Oryzias latipes: one gene and its partners. The protein of the gene in region 3 purifies or fractionates together with the protein of the main gene of each other region. This does not show direct contact. Links are inferred from orthologs where the notes say so. Each region holds a gene or a part of one and is shown on either strand. Other genes may lie near its edges.

What was found. Proteins that work in one complex are often made in the same cells at the same time.
Region 1: the proteins of mgrn1 (region 3) and mc1r purify together in Homo sapiens (affinity purification with western blotting; 3 studies listed by BioGRID). This does not show direct contact. The link is inferred for Oryzias latipes from reciprocal best matches to the Homo sapiens genes MGRN1 and MC1R.
Region 2: the proteins of mgrn1 (region 3) and ankrd46 purify together in Homo sapiens (co-immunoprecipitation; 3 studies listed by BioGRID and IntAct, counting the BioPlex papers as one, with this or other methods). This does not show direct contact. The link is inferred for Oryzias latipes from reciprocal best matches to the Homo sapiens genes MGRN1 and ANKRD46.

The regions. Positions count from the first base shown.
Region 1 is NC_019861.2:22,128,556-22,132,712, forward strand, and holds the end of mc1r (melanocyte-stimulating hormone receptor), read left to right. Parts: 5' UTR 1-734; coding exon 735-1,706; 3' UTR 1,707-3,657; downstream 3,658-4,157. UniProt on the Homo sapiens protein: Receptor for MSH (alpha, beta and gamma) and ACTH. The activity of this receptor is mediated by G proteins which activate adenylate cyclase.
Region 2 is NC_019876.2:21,534,655-21,538,286, reverse strand, and holds the end of ankrd46 (ankyrin repeat domain-containing protein 46), read left to right. Parts: intron 1-1,672; 5' UTR 1,673-1,704; coding exon 1,705-2,015; intron 2,016-2,257; coding exon 2,258-2,416; intron 2,417-2,547; coding exon 2,548-2,764; 3' UTR 2,765-3,132; downstream 3,133-3,632.
Region 3 is NC_019866.2:8,153,197-8,155,761, forward strand, and holds the end of mgrn1 (E3 ubiquitin-protein ligase MGRN1), read left to right. Parts: intron 1-277; coding exon of another isoform or gene 278-318; exon of another isoform or gene 319-321; intron 322-476; coding exon 477-589; 3' UTR 590-2,065; downstream 2,066-2,565. UniProt on the Homo sapiens protein: E3 ubiquitin-protein ligase. Mediates monoubiquitination at multiple sites of TSG101 in the presence of UBE2D1, but not of UBE2G1, nor UBE2H. Plays a role in the regulation of endosome-to-lysosome trafficking.

The sequences.
Region 1 (4,157 bases), on a different chromosome or scaffold from region 3:
TTTAGATTCATTTTAATCTTTAAAAAAACGTTTTGGGTCTGATCAAATCTGTTGTTAAGTGGATTCCTGCTTATCTAAATGTCCCTTTATTTTTTGGATAGCGTTTAATGTGTATTTCCCAACCAAACCATATTGGAGATTGTGTGTTTGCTCTTTTCTGTTTGTTGACAGAATTGCTCAACAACCTGTAAAGTGAAATCTATCAACTTGGTGAATGAGAGAAAGCAAAGCATGTTGTTGAAGTCACGTTAGATCCCTGTGGAGAACAGCGTCCTCATCTGAGGTCGGAACCAGCTGACGTCAGCTTCAGAGGAGGGATTGACTGAAGTCCCTCAGCATCTGTGTTCACATCCTAACATGTCACAGAGTCTGCAGCTGCAGAGACAGCAGTCCCCTCCTCTCTGCCTGCTTCCAGGTGCTCACACAGCCGCAGTGATCTGACTGATGGGGAACCGCTCTGTTCCCACGGAGCTGCGCTGCTGAAACCAGAGCGCACAGACGCCATCTGGAAGCATGGAGCGACTTTCTTGCGTTTCTTCCACCAACTGACTGCATGGATGAAGTGAAGAGGATTTCTCCACGTGGCCACAGACTCTTTCTGGATCTTGGACGGTCTGTGCCTCTGAGAAGCTACTGATGCTGATCAACTTCTCCAAACTTTTCGAAACCTCGCAGCAGCTGAAGCTCCGGCGGTCAACCTGAAACTTATTTTACTGCCTTAAACGCTCGTGGAAATGGCCAACAGCTCGTTCCACTACCCCTCTATCCTCCATATGGAGTTTACTCCTGTTGTTGACATTGCAGAATACAACGAGACAAACTCAACGGCTGGGGAGCGCAATCTGCTGGGCTGCTTTCAGATCCGCATCCCACAGGAGCTGTTCCTGACTCTGGGACTCATCAGCCTGGTGGAAAACATCCTGGTCATTCTGGCAATAATCAGGAACCGCAACCTGCACTCACCAATGTACTACTTCATCTGCTGCCTCGCCGTGTCCGACATGCTGGTGAGCGTCAGCAACGTGGTGGAAACCATAGTCATGCTCCTGACTGACCACGGCCTGCTGGACGTGCACCCCGGCATGCTGCGGCACCTGGACAACGTCATCGACGTGATGATCTGCAGCTCCGTGGTGTCATCGCTGTCTTTCCTGTGCACCATCGCCGCGGATCGCTACATCACCATCTTTTACGCGCTGCGCTACCACAGCATCATGACCAGCCAGCGCGCCGTCATCATCATCGTCCTGGTGTGGCTGGCCAGCCTCATCTCCAGCATCCTCTTCATCGTGCACGACACCGACCACGCTGTCATCGTGTGCCTCATCACCTTCTTCTTCACCACGCTGGTGTTCAACGCCGTACTCTACCTGCACATGTTCATCCTGGCGCACGTCCACTCCCGGCGCATCACGGCTTTCCACAAGAGCAGGCGCCCGTCCACGAGCATGAAGGGAGCGATCACGCTCACCATCCTGCTCGGGGTTTTCATTATATGTTGGGGCCCTTTCTTCCTACACCTCATCCTCACCCTGGCCTGCCCCACTAGCCCCTTCTGCAACTGTTTCTTCCGAAACTTTAACCTTTTCCTCATTCTGATCATCTGTAACTCGCTCATCGACCCGCTCATTTACGCGTACCGCAGCCAGGAGCTGCGGAAAACCCTGCAGGAGATGCTCATGTGTTCCTTCTGCTTCAGCGTGTGACTGAAAGTAATGCTAGAACTTTTTGGGCCTAAACCGAACCGGGATTGGGTCACATCACTGTGCTTGAACTTGATACAACAGTTTTTCCTCATAAGAACTCCTTAAATGACATTCGGAGAAATGCGTCAGTTTCACTGTAACGTTTTGTGTATTTGTGTGTTATCTTTATCTGTATGCTGTTTTTTTAATAGTAAAAGACTTTTAAAAAGTTTCTGACCTGATTCTAATATTAGGCAAATTATATTTGCTTTAGCTCCAATTTCTTACATATTTTTCACTTTTTCTATAAAAATTGTAGATTACCTGCCTCAACTTTAAGAGCACACCTTCTAAAAACGAAACAAAAAGAAATGTACATCTGTTTATTTCTTTACGTTACGTCCGGCAGCAAAATAATTTAAAATTAACAAAATACATTTGATGTTTTAGTTCTAAGTAAGAGGTGGACGGGCGCACCATTAGTCATAAATAATAAGGGCGTATTTAAAAAGATTTTTAATTGTTGAAGAAAACTGTTGAAATTGTAAAAGAAAAATACAAATAAAGAACTAAATTTCTGTTTTTAAAACAAGAATCCAGAAATATTTTTGACCCATGTTTGTTACTTATCTAAACAGACGAAAAGAAAGAAGAAAAAAAGAAGAAGGGGGGGATAAATTTCCAGTTTTTACTGCATGCTTTTAGTAAGTTTTTTGCAAAATATTTTGCTCCACCTTAATTCAAAGCACCAAATGTGTGATATAAAAACTAAGACAGAAAAAGTGTGATCTTTGTTAGATCTTGAATCAGATTGTTTCTGTGGAGATTAAAAAAATAGATACAAAACCGATTTTAAAAAAGTGAGAAGATTCTCTTTGTTATCTCATATTTGTAAATATTGTCAATAAAATACAGTGCACTACACATGACATTTGCTGCTGAATTAGGAATCTGAACTTTTATTATCAGGTTAACCTATAAACATGTATTTTCTGTCTTACTATTTAAAACCTACAGTTTTCACTTTGTTTTATTTCCAGTAACCTCATGTTTATGTATTTTATCTTTATTGAATTCTTATTATACAAATTCTTCATTGTTTTCATAAGAATGACGATAAACAGCCTTTGATTTAGGCCTAATGAGATTATGGTTATTTGAACATGACATCTTTCCGGGGCTTATGGACAGAAAGAAATACATTTTAGTCTAAATGTACGTTTGGATTACTGGACTTTTCTGCAGCGTTTTTTTTTTTTTATCTGTTATGCCCAAATAAAAAAGGTCAGGGTCTTTTTTTTTTTGATGAGGCTTAAAAAGAGGATTGTTCCTTTCCCTTTGGAAAAAACAGCCAGAATAGTTTCAGCGCACTGCTTTTTAGACTGGTTATCTGATAGTGAAACACATGTGGAAAATTCATCATCACATTCCTGCTGAAAAGACTAAACAGGTTGATTTCAGCCGTTAAAGTTTGTTTGATCTTGTTACCTATCAATATTTATTTAGAACACATGAAAGACATCAAATCACAAATAGCTAAAATAAAATAAAATTAAAAAATGATGTTTCTTGATAGTGGATTGATAACAGCAGGAAGTTTTACCTTTACATCTTATTTCTAAGTTAAATTAGATCCATGTGAGGCTTTTTTTGGGTTATTTTTTTCTTGTATATTCTTCAGTGCATGTTATTACATTGATAATATAACTTCTTAATTTTTAAAGAAACTCTACGTACACATTTTTCTTAAACATACCTCAGAGTGTTGTAAATATTGAGATACTTTGATCTTTGGGTTTTAAATTTTTGTTTGATTACAATTGACTTGTTTTCAGGGTGTGTTTAGCCTTTTATGAAGTGAACCAACTTAATAAAGAACAAATATAGTTATATTTTTAAGTCTTCTATAAGTCAATCTTTGGTTGAGTTTGATAGTAGCCAATAGGTGTGTTCTTCAAGCTGAAGCTTTTACTCTTTCTGCAAAGGAGTTACAAAAACAAACAAAAAATGTTTGCAGTTCTCCTGATATGCCTGCTGCTATGAAAAAAAAAAGAATTTGTAATGTTTTCAGTCACAAAATTGCTATCTTAAAGAAGCATGCTATTTGTGTACATAGGATTTCAATGAAATGTGAAGGTCTGTAAATGATCCTTACAGCTGTGGTACGTTGTGTTTGTGTATTATACATTACTCAGTTGAAAACCGAAGACTTTTTATTTCACTAACAGCTTTGGCACCTTTCTTCCCCCCTATGAAACACACACACGCACACACACACCCGCACATATGTACACACAAAAGGCATCAACTTTTGTCAGCTTTGGTGATGTGTCAGCAATATATTGTAGGTCAATTGTGCAATGTAAGACCTTTTTTTATGCTATAGGCAACACTATTTGCAAGCGCCTGCATTGCTCATGACCTGAAACCCCTGCAGGAAAATCGCAGCAAAGCAGCATAATTATCAATGCA
Region 2 (3,632 bases), on a different chromosome or scaffold from region 3:
CTTTTAAAAGTAACATAATTTGCATATATTTCAGATGCTGCATTTGCCATGTTGATTTCTAAAATAGTTATTTTTGACGTAGTACTTAAGTAATTCATCTTTGGCATGTGCTTTATTGATACCTTATGATTGTTAATTCTGTCTGATAAAACCTAGGAACCGGATATTGATAAATCATGTAATAAAATGGTTATAGTATAACGGGGTGGGATTATATAAGTTCGCTTCTTTCCACTCCCTTTCAAGCAATATTTATTAATTATGTCTAATTATCCTAAGTTTGATTAGTTACTGTATGAATGTATAACTGATGATTATATTGTTTTTGTGTATTATTTCTATTTGATTGCTTGAAATAAACCATTTCAAATCAGAAAACAAATCAGAAAAAAACAGTGGCCTTAAGAGTCCTAAAATGTATTAGTATTATTATTATTCCACGTGACACAGATACTCAGCTCTGAGTTTGGCATGACTGTTAAGATTGATCTTCATTCCTCTAAAAATCACTGATCTTCATTCTTTTTTTCTTGTTCCCAATAACAGAGACTTCTGTCTGTCATTTTTGAACTCAATAAAGTTCATGTAGGAGTTCTGCTGCTCTGAGCAGCAGGGAGTCTGATAGACTATGATGGTTTGGTGACAGTTACACAAAGCTGAGTGTCATCTGCATAACTGCATTAGAGAGCACGATCAGACCCACAGGGAGAACCAAGGCTCCATGAACGAACTTTTTGCCATGGTTGCATATAACTGCACGGTAAGTAGGCTGGGTGGTGTATTCATGTCTAGTTTCCCAAAGGTCTATAATAGAAAGACTGTGGAAGACAATGGCTGGCAGTAGTCCGATTGTGACAGACTCTAATCCAGTTTCCAGTATTTCATGCTGTGATTAATAGCCTAACTTTACTGCACTTAAAACCACCAGTGTAAAAAGCCCCGCCCACTGTTCATCAGAGGTAGGCAGCACCGAAACTGATGATTGACCACAAAACTTTCACTGACATCATGTTAACATCAGCTGTTGATGGGGAGCAGCTTTTGAAGCATTCTGCTCCCATGTCAGATGTTCTTGATTGATCAGCAGAGGAGCTCTGCGCTGTGGTTAAGGGAGAATCATAGTGATGCTGTAATATAATTCATCCTAATTTGCTGCAAGACAGCTTTTGAATAATCTATAGATCCTGTGGCCTTGATTTTTTACAAGGTCAAACAAAGAGATGGATCCAAACTTTGTACAAGACTAACCCAGATGTTCCCTTTCACTTAAGAAGTCAGAGTTGTCGTCCTTCCCAATGTCTTCTTCTGTGTTCCATTTGCACTGAGAGTGGACTGGAATATTTAGTAGAGTGGAAACTTCTGGAATGGGACGGGGGTCTCACAGAAGCTTCACAGATGTTTGCAGAAGCCTTAACCCTTGTGCTATCTTAGATGACCCCACCCTTACATTGACGTGTTATCCCTACCATGACAAAGGTGGATAAAGGTGGAAAGATTTCATGTAATCCATGGACACCAGTGAAGACCACAAATCATTGAAGAGAAAAGGTTCAGCGCACTGTCTAGTGGGGTCTAGATGACCCAACTCCCAATGTTAAAGTGCCTAGGATAGCACAAGGGTTAAATGAGTTGCTGAGGTTTCTCATCCCGTTTCCCGCTTGTTTTCCTGCAGGTACGCTGGAATTTTCTGACACCCACTCGGACATGTCCTATGTCTTCATCAATGACTCGTCGCAGACCAGCGTGCCCCAGCTGCAGGCCTGCATCGACGGGGACCTGCCTTTCGCCAAGAAACTCCTAGAAACGGGATGCGACCCCAACATCCGCGACAACCGTGGCCGCACAGGCCTGCACTTGGCTGCGGCGCGAGGAAACGTGGACATCTGTCGCCTCCTGCACAAGTTTGGCGCTGACCTTCTCGCTACAGACTACCAGGGGAACACAGCGCTGCATCTGTGCGGCCATGTGGACACCATCCAGTTCCTGGTGTCCAATGGACTGAAGATTGACATTTGGTTAGTGGCTCTCTGTCATCGCTGCTGTTTGTTCCACAGCATAGGAAGGATTCAAACAGAATCCTTTACAAGCATGTCCGTGTCTGTGGTCACTCTCTAAAACCAATGTTTCATTTGGTTACAGCAAAGGATTGTGGGATTGGATTATGGCCCATTTTTACAGAAAGGATGCTGCATGTTTTTATTTTTTTTTTCAGTTTGACTTACCCTCCCCTGTTTCTGTGTCTAATCCCTGGCTTCAGTAACCACAATGGCTCCACCCCCCTGGTGCTGGCAAAGAGGCGGGGCGTGAACAAAGACGCCATCCGCCTCCTGGAGGGTCTGGAGGAGCAGGAAGTGAAGGGCTTCAACAGAGGGGCTCACTCCAAGCTGGAGACCATGCAGATGGCTGACAGTGAGAGGTAATGGGGGTGCATGACATTCAGAAGTGTGTATGTGGGGGTGTCGCATCCATGTGCACAGAGTTCAGTGGTCATGTGACCTCATAGGACTCAATTTCTTTGGTCTGAAGTCTTTCTTCTTCTGCTGCCAGCGCCATGGAGAGTCATTCCTTACTGAACCCCCACCTGCAGAGCAGCGAGGGGGTGCTGTCCAGCTTCAGGACCACCTGGCAGGAGTTCGTGGAGGATCTGGGCTTCTGGAGGGTCCTGCTGCTTCTGGTGGTCATTGCCCTCCTCTCACTCGGCATCGCCTACTACGTGAGCGGCGTGCTGCCCTTCTCCAGCAGCCAGCTGGAGCTGGTCCACTGAGGAGGAGGTGCTTGCTACATCTGCAGCTGAGGTTCTTCTGGCACCAGATTGACATTTATTCCCCAGACCTTCGTCATCAGCATCATCTTCATGACATTCTGGAGAACACCCACCCACTTGATCTGTTACAGACTGATCTTCTGCCCCCACACCTTGTTCTCCTTATTTAACTGTAGTTTTTTTTTCTGGATGTTCCCAATAACCTTGCCCCCCTCCCCAAGCCTTTGTATCTGCATCTGTAATAAAGGCGTTATGCTGTAGGATTTTGTCTACCTGTCGCTAGACTTCCATGTCATCACAGACATTATTGATCCTGCTTCTTGTAAGAACTGAATAAATATGGATGTTGTAGTGGCGCTGGTCATTTCAGAAGAATTTACCGTTCATTGTATGAACAAAAATGATAGAATCTATGAGGAAGTTAAAATAGAGGTTTCAGCTGTGCTGCTGCTCAAATCCCAAAGGAACTTTGAGGCAGAGATGAGATGAAAACCACTTGAGGAGGCAAGGAGGCTACATGACAGACGAAGGTCACATGGCTGCTGAAGGCTGTACATTACAGGACGGCTGTGGTGCCGCAGTTGCGCAGTCGACCCCTGAACGGAAAATTGTAGGTTCAATTCCCGCCTTGTCCACCCATGTGTCTAAGTGTCTTGTGCAAGACACTGAAGCCTACCTTGCCTCTGGTGGAAGGTTGGCGCCAGTGTTCGGCAGCGGAGCCGCCACCGGCGTGTTAATGGGTCTGTGACTGTAAAGCGGTATACAAGTGTACACCATTTACATTGTTATACCTTTTCTTTTTTAAACTTGTCCTGTCCAACAGCTGAGCAAACAGATGTGAGCTGAAAGCCTCTTGTGTTGGACATAT
Region 3 (2,565 bases):
TTAGCACCAAACGTTCCCCTGTGAACAATTTCCAACTATGTTATGCTTGAAGGAAGGTTAAAAATGTCACCTTTTTTATTGTGTTTCCCTCTGAACAACCAACACTGTCCGCCTCGTTTGGCTCGGTTAGGTGGTAAAATCTCCATTCTCTTTAATCCGACTGTCAGCCTCTGATTGCTTGTGCTTTGCATCTAACCGGTTTGCCGTTTGCTGCTGTTTGTTTCTAACACTCCTCCGTTCAGCTCCTGTCTTCTCTGTATCGCCTCACTTTCTGCAGCTCTAGGTCCCGATTCCTGCTCTATTGGTGTGGAGGAATAACTGGTATGTAGGCTTTCCTGTCTGCTCTATTTCTTTGTGAGCTCCTCTGCTCCCTCTGTAGTGTTTCTTTAGACGGCTGTAGTGATGTCATAGCCTGAGTGTGTAGCTTTTTGTGACGTCAGTTAAAGGTGACCCCTAACCTGTGGGTGTCTCCTCAGGATCATCGGAGTCAACAGAAAGCCTGAAAAGTGAGAGCACCAACTGCTCCAGCCAGCCTCTTCTGTGTCCCACCATGAACCTCCATATGGAAGATGAACACCTGAACCCCTGACTGAAACCACCAACCCTCTCATTCCTGTCACTCAACATTTCCTGCCCTGATGTGGACAGAAAAGAGCGTTTTCCTTGATTTTGGAGGAAATTTGTTTCAGTGTTCACGTCGTAAGACTCCTGTGAAGATGCTTCGGACTGAGAAAGATGTGTTTTCTTAACATTTGAAAAGATTTCGCCAACTTTTTCTTTGTTTGTTTGCCTCAGTCAGTCAGACCAGCGCTCCTCTAATTCCACTACCTTTGACGGTGGTGCTTTAAAGCACACTTACTTTACATTTCCTGTACACATTTCTTGACACTAAAAGTAAAAAATAACTTATAAATACAGTTTGTGGTTAAATATTGTATCCAGTAGTGAATCATAAGTATAATTTAAGGCATTTTTGTTTAGCCCTTACAGGTTTATGACCTCCAAAAAAAACACCTTTTGAGTTCATTTTGAACAAAATTATTGAGAAATCATTCCTTTTAAAAAGTGTATTTGAAGAATTTCTGTGCTTTGCTGTTTTAAACATAGTCTGTTGAACCATTGTGTATCTATGTAAGATATTTACTAAAATCCTCTGCTTAAAAATGTATTCTTGCATAATATGTAGGAAAAAAACTGATAATGAAGTAACTATAACTTGCAGAATGTTTCACATTTTTATGACAAGAACTGCAGATTACCATCCTAACAGCTAAAATCAAAGATCGCTGAAGCCTGAAACCAGCTTATAGATAGATGCTCCACCTTCTCAAAAGCAGCACAGCCAGCGCGTTTGTCTTCGATGTGTCTGATCTCTGTCCAGTTTTTCTTTTGGTTTTTAAATGTTGCTGCAAAAACTGTTTGGTATGACATAGTGGCAAAGTTGGGGGTCGCATTCGTTTGGGCGGGGCAGCTTTATCTACTTTGGTCTTTTATGTGTAGCACCATGCATATAGATCTATGTGCCTTGAAATAATATGGCTGCCTGCCTGCTTGTGGAAACAGACATTAGTGTTCTTCATTCTTCAGTTTCAATACATAAATGGTTTCTGACGCTCATGTACAGAGCGTTTTCTTTTTTTGTGTGTAATCTTTATAATGCCCAGATAATAACAACGCATCTCATTAGTGTTAATGAATTAAACAAGTTAAACCATGAAGTTACTTTACTATGACGAGTTAAAAGTGATGCATTTAATATCTGTATCTAGTTCAGGTGCAATCTTGTAATATTTGTGTTACTGAAAGAAACCTTGCAGAGTTTGCATTGTAATGAGTTGGCTTGCATTTGCTTGTGAGTTGAGACCCCCCCCCCTTCTTTTCTGCTTTTTAATAATGCCCCCCCCTTTTTTTCTGTGCCATTTCAACTTGACACTGTGCCTTCCTGTTCTGACCACTGTCAACCTGGTATCCAGGATAACTCCTCAGTAGGTGGTGTCCTATCTCACCGTCTCTCTCTGTGTATAGACGCATGTGTAGAACAATAAAGAAACATTCAGTATCCCAACCAGACTTTTAATCTCTTTCCCTCAATAAGAGTTGTGATTATGCCTAAAGAATCTTTATTTAAAAAATTTTTAAGGCAAAAATCCAGATTAAAATGTGTGAAGTAAAAAAAAATACATTCTTAGTGAGATATTTCTACCAACTGGTGTGAAGATTCACAAGGTTTTAGTACTTCCTGAAGCTCTCTAGGAAAAGACAATACAACACCAAAAGATGGAGGCAAAAAGTCCAATTGTACACACTGTTTCATACAAATCCACAAATTATTTAACAAAAGGTGCAACTAACTGTACAAATACGATAAATGAAAAACAAAGTTTGTAGGACAAAACAGCTTTAAAAATTAAAACTTTGCATTAGACTGTATTGCTCTGTGGTCAAATAAAACTGTGTCATGAATTTATGCAGGTATTGTTTGAAATGCTATAAAAAAACGGTGATATGTTTAGGGCACACAACACGCCTCCCTCCCTGTAGTTGACATTCAGCTAATTATAATTG